Linked DNA regions of Cricetulus griseus. The protein of the gene in region 1 interacts with the protein of each later gene in a pairwise test. Links are inferred from orthologs where the notes say so. Each region holds a gene or a part of one and is shown in the gene's direction. Other genes may lie near its edges.

Region 1 (4,174 bases):
CGAGACACTCCTTCCTTTTACACTGGAATTCAACGAATACAAATCTCAAAAACATTAAGGACTGCAAATCATTGAAAGTGTGCACGGCCATTAAGAAGTAGTAAAATTTGAATGACTCCATAGCAAGGGGGAAATATATATATATATATATATATATATATATATTTATTTATTTATTTTTAAAGAGAACATATGGACTTGTTTCAAAACTCAAAGGATATAAAAAGAACTACATGTTAGGAAAAGCGTCTTTCCTACCCGGTCATCTTTCCTAGAGAAATTCTGTCTTCCTCCACAGACGCGGATATGGTAGAGTAGCTAGCTAACCCTGAGCAGTCGGACCAGGTGCTAGGAAACCCTCTGATCGCTTTACGTGACATCCTCACAAAACCCCGAGGCGACGACCTATGGTCTACTTTAAAGGAGTAGTCACAGCCATACAAAGCACCAAATACACTTAACCTTGTATACTCCAGAGTGTCCAGCAATCTGCGCTTTTTAAGCATAACACATCCGGGAAGACTCTTGTTCACATATCTGGACAGTGTTCCATTTAATGTGAATGTAGCTATTAATAATAAATGATAGGCCAGTGGCCAGATGACAGTGTTTTTTTGTTTGTTTGTTTGTTTGCTTGCTCTGGTTGGTTGGTGGTTACTTCCTGGGACAGGGTCTGACTTTGTAGCCCAGATTAGACAAGGCTGTAACTTGCCGCGGTCCTCCTGCCTCTCCCTCCCAAGTGTGGGAGGCATACAGGAGTGCCCGCAAGATTGCAGCTGCTGAAACGGGCGTGGGAATGCCCCGCAGAGGGTGGCGCCTCCCGAACTCCAGTCCCAGCTATCTCGTCAGACTCCGCCCACGACCCCCACTTGCAGGGATCTATCGAGTCTCCAGCAAGTTCTAGGGCTACAGGGGCCGGAAGTGTTTGAGGACGCTGAGCGGGCCCGCCCCTCAGCTTCCGGCACTGCTATTGGGAGTGCCTTCTGCAGGCGTCCGTGCCTGGTCGGTAGGATGGCGCTAGGCCGCTGCGGTTGTAGCACGGAGAGCAGGGTGCTGCTCCACGTCCTCGCTGCCCTCCGCCATCTGTCCCCGCTGGCGGGGCATGGGGGCTTCTTCCGCTTTGTACGCGTTCCCCGCCGCCAGTCATCACAGAGATGCGGACCTCCGCCGTCCTAGCCCTCCCGCCCTGTTCCCGCGTGTCCGCTAGAGCGTCTCCTCCTCGTTTCCGGTTGCCCTGGAGTCCGGGGCGGGGCGTGGGAGAAGGGGGGCGTAGCACAACCTCGGAGGGAACTCGTGAGTTTAGGTCGTGTGGAGACGCCGGAAGCGTCGGGAGGGAGGCCGGAAGCTGGGGGGCGGGGCCAGGAAGTGAGGAGGGGCGGGGGTTTATGAGGAGGCCGGGGGAGCGTTGGGGCAGATTTGCACTCAGGTCCACCTGAGATACTTGTCGGTGGTGCTCACCTCAGTCCCCTCCCCTCTCTGAGACGCGATTGTCGTCTAGGGGTAGGGGACTGTGTGTGCAGCGGTGGGCTGGTCGGGAGGACATTCCTCCGGCCTCGCCGCAGGCAAGGTGTGGGGAAGCAGGGCTTGGGGTGGGGACGGGTCTCCTGGGCTTCTGAGAAGGAAGACCCCCCCGCCCCCCCTCGGCCCCCACCACACTTCTACACTGGCTGACTGGACACTAAGATGGCTGCCGTTGCCATGACACCCAACCCTGTGCAGACCCTTCAGGAGGAGGCGGTGTGCGCCATCTGCCTCGATTACTTCACGGACCCCGTGTCCATCGGCTGCGGGCACAACTTCTGCCGAGTGTGTGTAACCCAGTTGTGGGGCGGGGAGGATGAGGAGGACAGGGATGAGTTGGATCGGGAGGAGGAGGAGGAGGTCGGAGAGGAGGAAGAAGTGGAGGCTGTCGGAGCAGGCGGGGGTTGGGACACCCCCATGCGGGATGAAGATTATGAGGGTGACATGGAGGAGGAGGCCGAGGAGGAAGAGGAGGGTGTGTTCTGGAGTAGTGGTATAGGCGGGTCCAACTGGGACAACATGGACTATGTGTGGGAGGAAGAGGAGGAGGAGGAAGATCTGGACTATTACTTGGGAGATGTGGAGGACCTGAGGGGGGAAGATGAGGACGAGGAGGAGGAAGTGCTGGAGGAAGATGAGGAAGAGGAGCTAGATCCGATCACCCAACTGCCGCCACCTCCAGCCCCTCGGAGGTGCTTCACTTGTCCCCAGTGCCGAAAAAGTTTTCCTCGGCGGAGCTTCCGCCCCAACCTGCAGTTGGCCAACATGGTCCAGGTGATTCGTCAGATGCATCCAACCCCTGGTCGAGGGAGTCGTGTGAATGAACAAGGCATCTGTCCGAGACACCAAGAAGCCCTGAAATTGTTCTGTGAGGTGGATGAAGAAGCCATCTGTGTGGTGTGCCGAGAATCCAGGAGCCACAAACAGCATAGTGTGGTGCCATTGGAAGAGGTGGTGCAGGAGTACAAGGTGAGTGAACTAAGCAAGGCAAGAGTTTAGTAAGGGTAGGGAGGAAATAGAGGACATCGGGCAAAGGGAATGTGGGTTCTCTTACAGGACCTCATGTCCTGCAGAAATGATTCTCCCTGTCCAAGCACTGACTTCCAAGGTCGATAAATTACAAGGATCCTGAGACTTCCTCTGTGGCTTAAGGATAGGAGTGCAAGTGACAGAGAGTGCATTCATCCTTCTGGATGGATCTTAAGTCTTATCCATGACAGAGTCACTTCCAGATGGAAAGAAATGGGACCAAAAAGAACAAGGGAGTCTGAAACAGGAGCATAGAAATAACTAGTGTCAGACCCAAATACTCTGCACTTGTTTCCTAACGGGTTCCACACCCATCCTATGATACAGATTTGCTGGTTGGCTCAGCACCCAGTCTCATGTATTAACCAGAAAGGAGGGTTTTAGGGTAAAAATCTTGTGTCTTTAAACTTTTTTTTTGTTTTTGTTATTTTTTTGAGACAGGATTTCTCTGTGTAGCTTTGGAGCCTATCCTGGCACTCACTCAGTAGTAGACCAGGCTGGCCTTGAACTCACAGGAATCTGCCTGCCTGTGCCTCTGGAGTGCTGGGATTAAAGGTGTGCCTACCCGGCTTCACTTTGAACTTTAATTATTACAGGAGTTAATATTTATAGGGCACTTCACATATAGTCAGTACTGTGCAGGTCACTTTTTGTGGATTATCATTCATAATTCAAAGTCACCATGTGAGTTTGATGTTTGCCATTCTCATTTTATTGATTGGGAAACAGGGTTAAATTCTGAACATGGATGTTTATGTATATACAGCTTTAATAAGTGATAGACTTGGATATGAACATCTTCCTCTTGGGGCTCCTAGGTAACACTACTTGGATATTTTAGTTTGACTTTTTTTTTTTTTTTTTTCTCGAGACAGGGTTTCTCTGTGTAGCTTTGGAGCCTCTCCTGGAACTCACTCAGTAGACCAGGCTGGCCTTGAACTCACAGAGATCTGCCTGCCTCTGCCTCTGCTTCCCAAGTGCTGGGATTAAAGGCATCCGCCACCAACGCCTGGCCTAGTTTGACTTTTCTGATGTGACTGTTCTAGGAATCTAATTCTTGTTTGGTTAACTGGCTTGTTCTTTATTTCTCTAATTCTTTGGACATATGTAAAGGACATGTGTCTGTGAAGCAGCCAGCACAGATAGAACTATCTTCAGATTTGAAGCCATAGAATCAGGAGGAGAGGGTAGCCTCCTCTGTATGGCTGCCCAGAGCTTTGTTTGTGACTAATGTTTCTATGCCTCCTCCTAATTCAGTCAGTAACTTCATTTAGGTGATCATCACCTCCTCAACTTTAGAGTCTAAGGCTTCACAGCTGATTGTCAGTTATTTGAGGAGATGTCAAAAGTACAGTGGGCCTTACTGCAGAAGTTCTGAATTAGAGTATCTATAGAATAGTCATCCTAAAATGGGCATGATAGTGCAAGCTTTTTATCCCAACACTTGGGGAAATAGAGGCAGGAAGAACAGTTCAAGGTCATCCTTGATGTAGCAAGATAGAGGCTAGCTCAAGATACATGAGACCTGAGGGCAAGAAACCCTTTTTGTTTCTTGTTTGTTTGTTTGTTTGTTTGTTTTTTCCTGGACAGGGTTTCTCTGTGTAATAGACCTGGATATCCTGGA
Region 2 (4,046 bases), on another chromosome or scaffold:
TTATTATTACTTATATATTTATTGTTATTTCATGTGCACATGGCCAGCATGGCAGCCAGCGTCTTCACACACTGAGCCATCTTGCAGCCATCTTAGTTGTCTCTTTAACTGATATATTGAGAATGGGTACCCAACCCTAGCTAGTTTTTTGGGACTGTCAGCGTTATGTTTTTTGAAGAAAAAGAGGAAAAGAGGCGGATGATGACATGTTAACTAGTTTATTATACGGCCCGGCAGAGTATGGAGACTAAAGAGAGAAGAGAAACAGGGGTAATGGCTGCCCACCATGGCCGGTCACCATAGAGAGGCAGAGAGAGTGTGTAGGTGGGGGAAGAGAGAGCAAAGCAGAAGTGAGCAAAGAGAGAGAGTAAAAGAGAGTAAAGAGGTTGAGCAGCAGGGAAGTTGGGGAAGACTGAGGTTCCACGCATGCCCAGAGTCCTCAGCAGGCCTAATGCGTGTCGGGTGACATGGTGATGATAACAGCACATTTTCCTCTGTGTGCCCTGACTGTTGTCAGGGGGTAGGGTCTGTCCTTAAAGAGATATTGCCGATCAGTATGAAAGTCTGAACCTTTCAGTCAGGGCGCAATCTTGGTAATAGAGTGATGGTTTAAAACCAGGAGGATTTCTGTTGTTGTTATTTGCTTTTTGTTTTTTGAGACAGAGTTTCTCAAGGCTGGCCTTGAACTCACAGAAACCTGCCTACCTCTGCCTCTCAAATTCTGGGATTAAAGGTTATGTGTCACTACACTGGTCTATTAAAAATGATATGCTAATAGAGTCATGAAAACTATTTTAAAACTTCTGTGATCCTAATGCTCTAAAAAACATTTTATACATCATCTTCCAAATATATTAACACAAATAGTACCATCTACAAAATTTTAGATGGTGTTTGGTTTGGTTTGTATACCCTGTAGTCCAGGCTGGAATGAAACTCACTGTGTAGCTGTGACTGGCCTCTAATTCTCCGCTTCAGCCTCCTGATTGCTGGATTTCTGGTGTGAGTTACCATCCTTGACTCTCAAATGTTTCTAACTCTGAAAGAAGTCTGTCTGTAATTTTAAAAATTATTTTAATTATTAATAGCATCTGTTTTCATAATCATAATGATTCCCCCCTCCAAAATGCAGGATGCAGGAAGGAGGGACATAGTGGAGGCTTGGGGAACCCCAGCTGCACCAAACCAGACTGCAGACGGCTGGGCACCCGGAACTCACCAGCCTCGGAACTCGCAGACACCGAAGTGTCGACATCGGAGAGCAGATGAGGGGACGCCACAAGCGGACAGAGCCGGAAGTGGGTTCACTAGTGGCCACCGGGAGAGCCCGGCCGGAGCGAGAGCCGCGGCGGCACAGCGGGTGAGCGGTGGGCTGCTGGCTGCGCGAGGAAGCGGAAGACGCTGGCTTTCCTCGGGCATTTCCGGAATAAAAGCGGAGCGCAGACCCGGGCGGGGGGTGCGGGGGAGGGTCCCTGCCTGGCGCCGCTTTGTGGCCGCGCCGCCCCGCCTTCGCGGTGGGGCTCCTGGGCGCTGGTGGACCGGCGCTCAGTGGGCGACTGTGGCTTCTCCACCGAGCTCCCCGCGGCCCCGAGGTGAGGTGTTTGCCCCGACTCACGGGTAGGGAAACAGGCTGCCCGCAGAGGCCCGCACTCCGCGTTCTCAGCCGAGGGTTCCACTCGCTTGCCTCCCGTAGCTTGCTCCTTCTGGAGACCGCGGCCGTCTTGGAGAAAACTTGGGTGAACCCGTGAACTAGAATCGAGGGCCAGCAACTTATGCCTGGGTGAAAGGGAAGACGGTGATCTCTCTTAACCTGTTTGTCACTCACGCCTTTGAGAACAGGACGTGAGAAGCCTGAACAGTCAACGTTTGATAGCTGGAGAGGGGGGGGGAAAAAGTTTGCCAAGGTTCCTTGTCACTAGTCTGAATTTTTATAAACTGCAATTTACCCTGGCTTTTAAAACTTCAGCTAGTGAGATGGCTCAGCGCTCTTGCCACTGAGCTTGACAGCCCGGTTTCAATCCCTGGAACCCACGTGGTGAAAAAAAAAAAAAAAAAAAAAAGCTGAATCCCACAAGTTGTCCTCTGACCTCTACTTGTGACCTGCAGCATGTGTGCACCCATGCATGTACACACACATAAAATAAATGTTTTTTTGAAATTTTAAATTTAACTCCTATTTTATACAGATGTTGGCAGATAGAGCTGTGCCATACTCGATACAGAGAAGGGGCTTAAGAGGTAGGCGTGTTTTCCTGGGTCTGTAGATGCTTAAGAATCACTGGAGACTCTGGATGCTTTGCTGACCCCTTTCAGGCCTCCTCTTCAAGTTAAATCTACTACTTCATAAGACACGCAAAAGGAAATGCCCAGATTGACAATGTCTCCCAAAGGACACAGTGATGGTGGCATTTGCCAGTGAGATTTAGCAAGTTATAAACAGACTGTCTTGCTATTCTCTCTTACAGTCAACACCTAAATAGCATTTGCTTACCTAACTTCAGAAGAGGGCAAACTGTAGTCTCAGAGCCTTGGCAAACAAGATCAAACTTGGTGTATCATGTAGGTTTATGTTACAGAGTCTACTTTATATATTTACATGATCCTGTAGAAAAATCTTAGTTTCAGGTTGACCGAGAGAGTCTGTCTCAAAAATTAGGTGGAGAGCAAGAAAAGAAACCCCTGACCTCTGCCTGCAAGGGCAGCATACCTGCAAACATAAAAAACGTTTCTTTTTTTCTGTTTACTTATACCTGCTCATATGTTTTGCTCACAATTTCGGACAAGTGGACTGTTTTCTTATTTTTAGGAACTTTTAAGGAAAATTAGAATTTTGCTGGAGAGATGGTTGTTTCTACTAGATTAGCCAGGCAGTGAGCACGGTGATCAGCCTGTCCGCACTTTCCAAGCGCTGGAATTCTAAACCCATACCACCAGGTCTAGCTTTTATATGGGTTCTAGGGATCAAAGTTGTATCCAAATGCCTGCACAGCAAGCACTTTACTCACCAAGCCATCTCAAGTTATGGAGTACATGTCTTACATCATTTTTTTCTCTAGTTGTCTGAAAAAAAAAATCTTTGGGGTTTTAAATGCATACAAGTCTGTGTTTATAAATAATGCTGGAGGACATGGTGGTGGCCCAGGCCTATAACCCTGGCACTTTGGGAGACTGAGTCAGGAGGATTGCCACTCAAGGCCAACCTGGAATACAAAGTGAAACTATCTCAAAATAATAATGCTGACTAGGTGATGGTGGCGCACTCAGGAGGCAGAGGCAGGTGGATCTATAAGTTCGAGGCCAGCCTGGTCTACAGAGTGAGCTCCAGGAAAGGCTCCAAAGCTACAGAGAAACCCTCTCTTGAAAAACCAACAGCAACAACAATAATAATAATGCTGAATGTCTGTTGATCAAAAAAGAAAGGGAAACTAGAAGTATGATTCATGGTAGGGTACTTGCCTAACATGCATGAAACCCTGGGCTTAACCCTCAGCACAACAGAGAAAAGGACAGGCTGGAGAGATGACTTAGCTGTTGGCAGAGGAGCCATGTGGTAGCTGACAACCATCTGTAACTCCAATCCCAGGGAATCAGCAGCCTCTCTGGCCTCCACAGACCCTGCAACGCGTATGACACACAAACACACATACAGGCACAACATCCCATGCACATAACAAAAGCAATTTTTAAAGAAGGAATCTGTATCTCACACACACACACACACACACACCATTTTATTTTGGTTGGTTTGGTTAGTGTGGTTTTCATTTGGTAGGGTTTTTGTGTTTATTGTCATCTTTTTTCCTGCTCTGACAGCAGGTTTCAAGTGATACATCCTGCCCAGAAAGCTACAGCAAGGGCCAGCAATGGTCCAGATGTGAAGTTTGCATGTCCTTTTGCAAGGAATCACTGGCCATAGTACAGTGTAATGTGGGTTAGTTAAGACAGATGCCTGGCCAAGGGCTATGTATATGAGAAGAAGGCTTGACTCAGGTAAGACAGAGTTAGAAGAGCTCTGAGGCTGAGTACAGCTCTATGCAAGAGTCTGG
Region 3 (4,233 bases), on another chromosome or scaffold:
AGGGTGGCGCTCTTGAGTTGTAAGAAAATTACCCCTTCCTTCTTAGTTGGGGTGGAAAATTCCCCCTGTTTAAACCATCTTTAGATGGTTTTTAGGGACCACAAAGAAGGCAAGAGTTGAGCTTAATTCATGGTGTTGATGTTGCTTCTATTTGCAAGCCATTTTACCCATGGGGGTGTTAATTTTTTTTTAAAGATTTGTACTTAAGATGAGCTTTAGATTCTCTACAAATTATCCTTATTTCAAAATGGCTTGATAAAACACAACTTCCTGTCCAGGGAGGAAGTTATTTTAGCTCAAGGACTGAAATATTTAGCAGATCTTTAAACAAAAGGAACAAATTACATTTCTCTCTGGCTTAAAAAGGGTGCTTGAGCCAGAGGGGGTTAAGAAGCCCTTCCCCCTCCCCCTTATGGAGTGGTCTGGAGGGGCAGGGAGGTGTGGGGTTGGGGGTCTTAAGGCTCCCTTGGATGGAGGATCTAGTTTTTTCTTTCTTTTTTTTTTTGGTGGAGATGAAGGGGTGGGTCTATGGTACATCACCTGAGTTGTGGGGTAAATGTAGAGAGTGTCAATCAAAGGCAGAGCTCTCAGAGCTGGGAAGGAGGCTCTAGATGGCGGCTGTGCCTTAGAGAGAGCGCGCTTTGCTCCCTGCTTCGGTTCACTTTACGCAACTTTCCCTAACTTTCGGGCAGCCTCAGGGGGCCCCCGCAGCCCCCTGCCTCTTCTAGTGACTTACTGGGGTCGATTCGAATCTTTTTTTGGAAGAAAAGCAGCTTTTAGGAGCTTTTTTTTCGTGCCTTGTTGGAAGAAGCTGCCGTATTGAGAGCCCAGGTCGTTGTTTTTTCCAGCTTAGAAGCCATGGCGCACCTCCATTTTTGTGCGCTCTCCTAATGAGGCTTTTTTTTTCCCCTTCCGGACCTGTTTTAGTATTAATTATTGCTTTATTTTTTGACAAGCCAACACATTTGAGGACTATTTCATTTACTTTTTGTTTTTTAACGGAGGATTTTTCGTTATTTTTAATTATTTTGGATCTGGCATTTTTCTACTACTAGATAGGACTCTTGCTTTGGACATACTGCATGGATCAGGTAAGTCCATAATAATTAGTGATAATTTGAAAGATTTTTATGTTGAAGTTGGCTTTATTTATTGTAAATATGAGAAATTCCTGGATGACGCAATAAGATACAGAGATTGTTATTTGTATCCAGTGTGTTACTTTGAGAAACTTTCCTTATTGATAGTGATGCTTCTACAGTTCAGCTTATCCCCCACTTATTTTAAAAAGAAAAAATAGAAATATTTTTGTTTTTTTGGTGCTTACCGTTGTTGCATTACATGAATATCGCTAACATCGTCAGGACTTTGTTCCTGATAGTAAGAACCATCCATAGAAGCTGGGACCTTACCTTTCTTTCAACTTTTGACAGTAAATACCTGGGCACAGGACTTCAAAGCAAACACAGATTCCCCCTCCCCCTTATATTTAAGAATTAAAAGATGATGAGAAATAAGGACAAAAGCCAAGAGGAGGACAGTTCGCTACACAGCAATGCATCGAGGTATGAGCTATCAACTTACTTTTTTTTTTTTTTTTTTTGGGGAAACCTCAGCTTACACTTGTTTACTTTGACAGACATAGATTGCTGTCTGTGTTGAAAGAATTTTCTAACTTGGGTTGATTTTTTTTTAAAGCGTGACCTTGAGATTGCTAACATGCCACACCCTGATTTTTTGGTAGCTATTTATGAAAGTTGAGTTGTGACTTAAGGCCTCTTAAAGCATTCTGAAGGTAAGGTACTTTTGTACGGAGGGGCCTTTCCTAGAAACTGTAGTTTTTCTGTCAGTAAATTTTTAGGTTTTAGGTTTTCATGCTGCAGAAAAATGACCTTGTCTGTTTAGCCATTGCTGCATTGCACCATTTTACATACAAGGCAAATTTTTTTCTTTGAATAATCTGGGATATTCAAACTTGTAACTGAGGGCCATAGAGGAGCCTTGTGGTAGTAAATTATAGTAAATAGACATTTGAGAAAGTTATATGAATGAGAAAATGTACATTTAAAAACAGAATCACAAATGGGACCCTTTGACTGATGCCTTTCATTTTATATTTTTGATTGTTTCTTTTGATACACTTCACAAATTTGAAAATTTTTATGACTTAACAAAACCTTACTTAAAGTTCCTGAAATCATTAAATCTGTCACCGCAAAAATCCTGGAATGCTATTAACACTTGCTTTGTGATTATTACTATGACAATATAATTTCAGATTTTGTTTAAAATGTTACAAGGTTTATGCTTGTGTATTTATGTTAAGACAGTGCTTTCTGGTTGGTAATTGTATTTTATCTTTACATTTTAGTTGATGCTGCTTTAAATTTATCCATTTATTTTGACAGAGTCATCTGGAATGCTTTCTCTTCTGAAGCTTTAATGTACTGTTTGTTCAAATAATGATTTGTTTCACATTCCTTGAAGTAGTTTATCAGTGACTGAAGTAATAAAGCCTATAAGATATTTTGGTTGTATGACTGTATCTTTATCTTTATTTAAAAAATGTGCATGCATTTCTGAATCTGTTAAGAATTGTCATGTCATAATTTTTAAATCATGCAGCTAACAAGGATGTGATTGGTTATGTGATCTTTTCCCAATTTTGATTTTATTTTATAACTTTGCATAAAATTCTTTTTCTAAATTAAGCTTGTAAATTTTGAGTATGCTTTATTACAAATGATGAATTTTGCTTTTGACTAAAAATAGTTTTGAATCTTTTAAAAGCACATTTTCGAGTTCCTTTGCAAATTGAGTTGTTACAATTTTGGATCTTTTGAGTTGCCTGTGTAATTATTGAGTTATATGTAGAACAAAAAACACTTGTAATGCAAAACTAGCTTTCTGGAAAGTAATAATTTGAAGGTATAGGAAGCTCCAGATATATTTGACAATTATGAAAGACCCAGTATTAAAGTTGTTACTCCCTTGAGTATATGATTTGCATATTCTCACCAGGGTTTTGGCTTTCTTAAGCAGGTTTCTGGTTTCATTGATCAGACGATGCTCTCTAACTCATCTCAAAGTGCTGCCTTTGAATAAACTTTTACTTTTATCTGGGATATGACTGCGGCATTGTCATGCATTTGATTTCTTTTGTCAATAAGAAGCATGTTTTTAATGCTTTTGCCAATTATACTTTAAAATCATATACTTGATGGATGTTCAAATATTCTAGAATCCTGAAAGAGGGAGTTACTTTTAAATTACTGTTACTTTTAAGTTATATACATTATTAATGCATGTACATAGTTATGACATCACTTCCTTTAAAGATTGTAAAGCTTAAAGAATGTTTGTGTTGTTTTGGTACAGTAGGCTATTTCTGGTGAACTGAAATTGAATTGCCTCTGTTTACCTGGTTCCTGTGATATCAGTAGGTTGCCTAAAGGGAGGCTAAAGTTTTGAAGTACAGTGTTCAGGGAACATCACTGAAATCACCTTTTGCACCCTGATTCTGCAGGGGAGGAAAGGAATTGCCTTCAGGTTAAGTAAACTTCAGAATGAGAATCACTTGAGAACAAGTTTTAAGTAAAGTTTTTCCCCCTGTTTTGAAAACAAGTGCTATAACTTACTACTGATTAAGTGTATTCTTGTATTCTTTTGTAGTTAATGCTGAATTCTAATTTGCTTTGTATATCATGATTTTTGGAGATTAAAAATTACTTTTTCGAATGTAATTTTAAACAATTTACATTTCTAATTTCTAAACACAACGGTTTTAGTGATGGACACAAAGTATGCCACATACTTACCTAAGTTATATCCACGAGTGTTAACTAGGGGGGAAGAAAATGCACATGGAACCGTGTGAACACACTTCTGTGTTCTAAGACACGGCATTTATAAACTCAAAATTAAATCTATATCCAAAGTCGTTTGCCTTTGAGCCATATTTTGATATCCGGAGGTGTGAGTACAATTTTCACGTTTTCAGGAGCCCTTAGCCTTGTAAGGCTGGGGATGATTAGAAACGGCATTTGCAGTGCTTGTGGACTGGAATAAGCAGTTTTAAGTGGCAGCCATTTTATGACGCTGATAATACTTTTAAAAATCGGATTTTTAAGAAGGCTGAAAAATGAATCGAAGTCCTGAATATCAGAATATCCCTTTCCCCACGTTCCCATTGGTACTCTGGTGATGAATTAAGGGGCAGCTCGGTAGCTGGCG

Evidence for each region. The genes of interacting proteins can lie anywhere in the genome.
Region 2: the proteins of Trim41 (region 1) and Top3b interact in binary tests that used the Homo sapiens proteins (3 or more experiments, as listed by UniProt). The two-hybrid records come from large-scale screens. The link is inferred for Cricetulus griseus from reciprocal best matches to the Homo sapiens genes TRIM41 and TOP3B.
Region 3: the proteins of Trim41 (region 1) and Chd2 interact in binary tests that used the Homo sapiens proteins (3 or more experiments, as listed by UniProt). The two-hybrid records come from large-scale screens. The link is inferred for Cricetulus griseus from reciprocal best matches to the Homo sapiens genes TRIM41 and CHD2.

What each region holds. Positions count from the first base shown.
Region 1 is NC_048600.1:63,472,683-63,476,856, reverse strand, and holds the start of Trim41 (E3 ubiquitin-protein ligase TRIM41), read left to right. Parts: upstream 1-1,374; 5' UTR 1,375-1,683; coding exon 1,684-2,490; intron 2,491-4,174.
Region 2 is NC_048597.1:72,462,187-72,466,232, reverse strand, and holds the start of Top3b (DNA topoisomerase 3-beta-1), read left to right. Parts: upstream 1-1,246; 5' UTR 1,247-1,360; intron 1,361-1,432; exon of another isoform or gene 1,433-1,592; intron 1,593-4,046. UniProt on the Homo sapiens protein: Releases the supercoiling and torsional tension of DNA introduced during the DNA replication and transcription by transiently cleaving and rejoining one strand of the DNA duplex.
Region 3 is NC_048596.1:123,752,345-123,756,577, forward strand, and holds the start of Chd2 (chromodomain-helicase-DNA-binding protein 2), read left to right. Parts: upstream 1-1,433; 5' UTR 1,434-1,503; coding exon of another isoform or gene 1,504-1,565; intron 1,566-2,408; 5' UTR 2,409-4,233. UniProt on the Homo sapiens protein: ATP-dependent chromatin-remodeling factor that specifically binds to the promoter of target genes, leading to chromatin remodeling, possibly by promoting deposition of histone H3.3.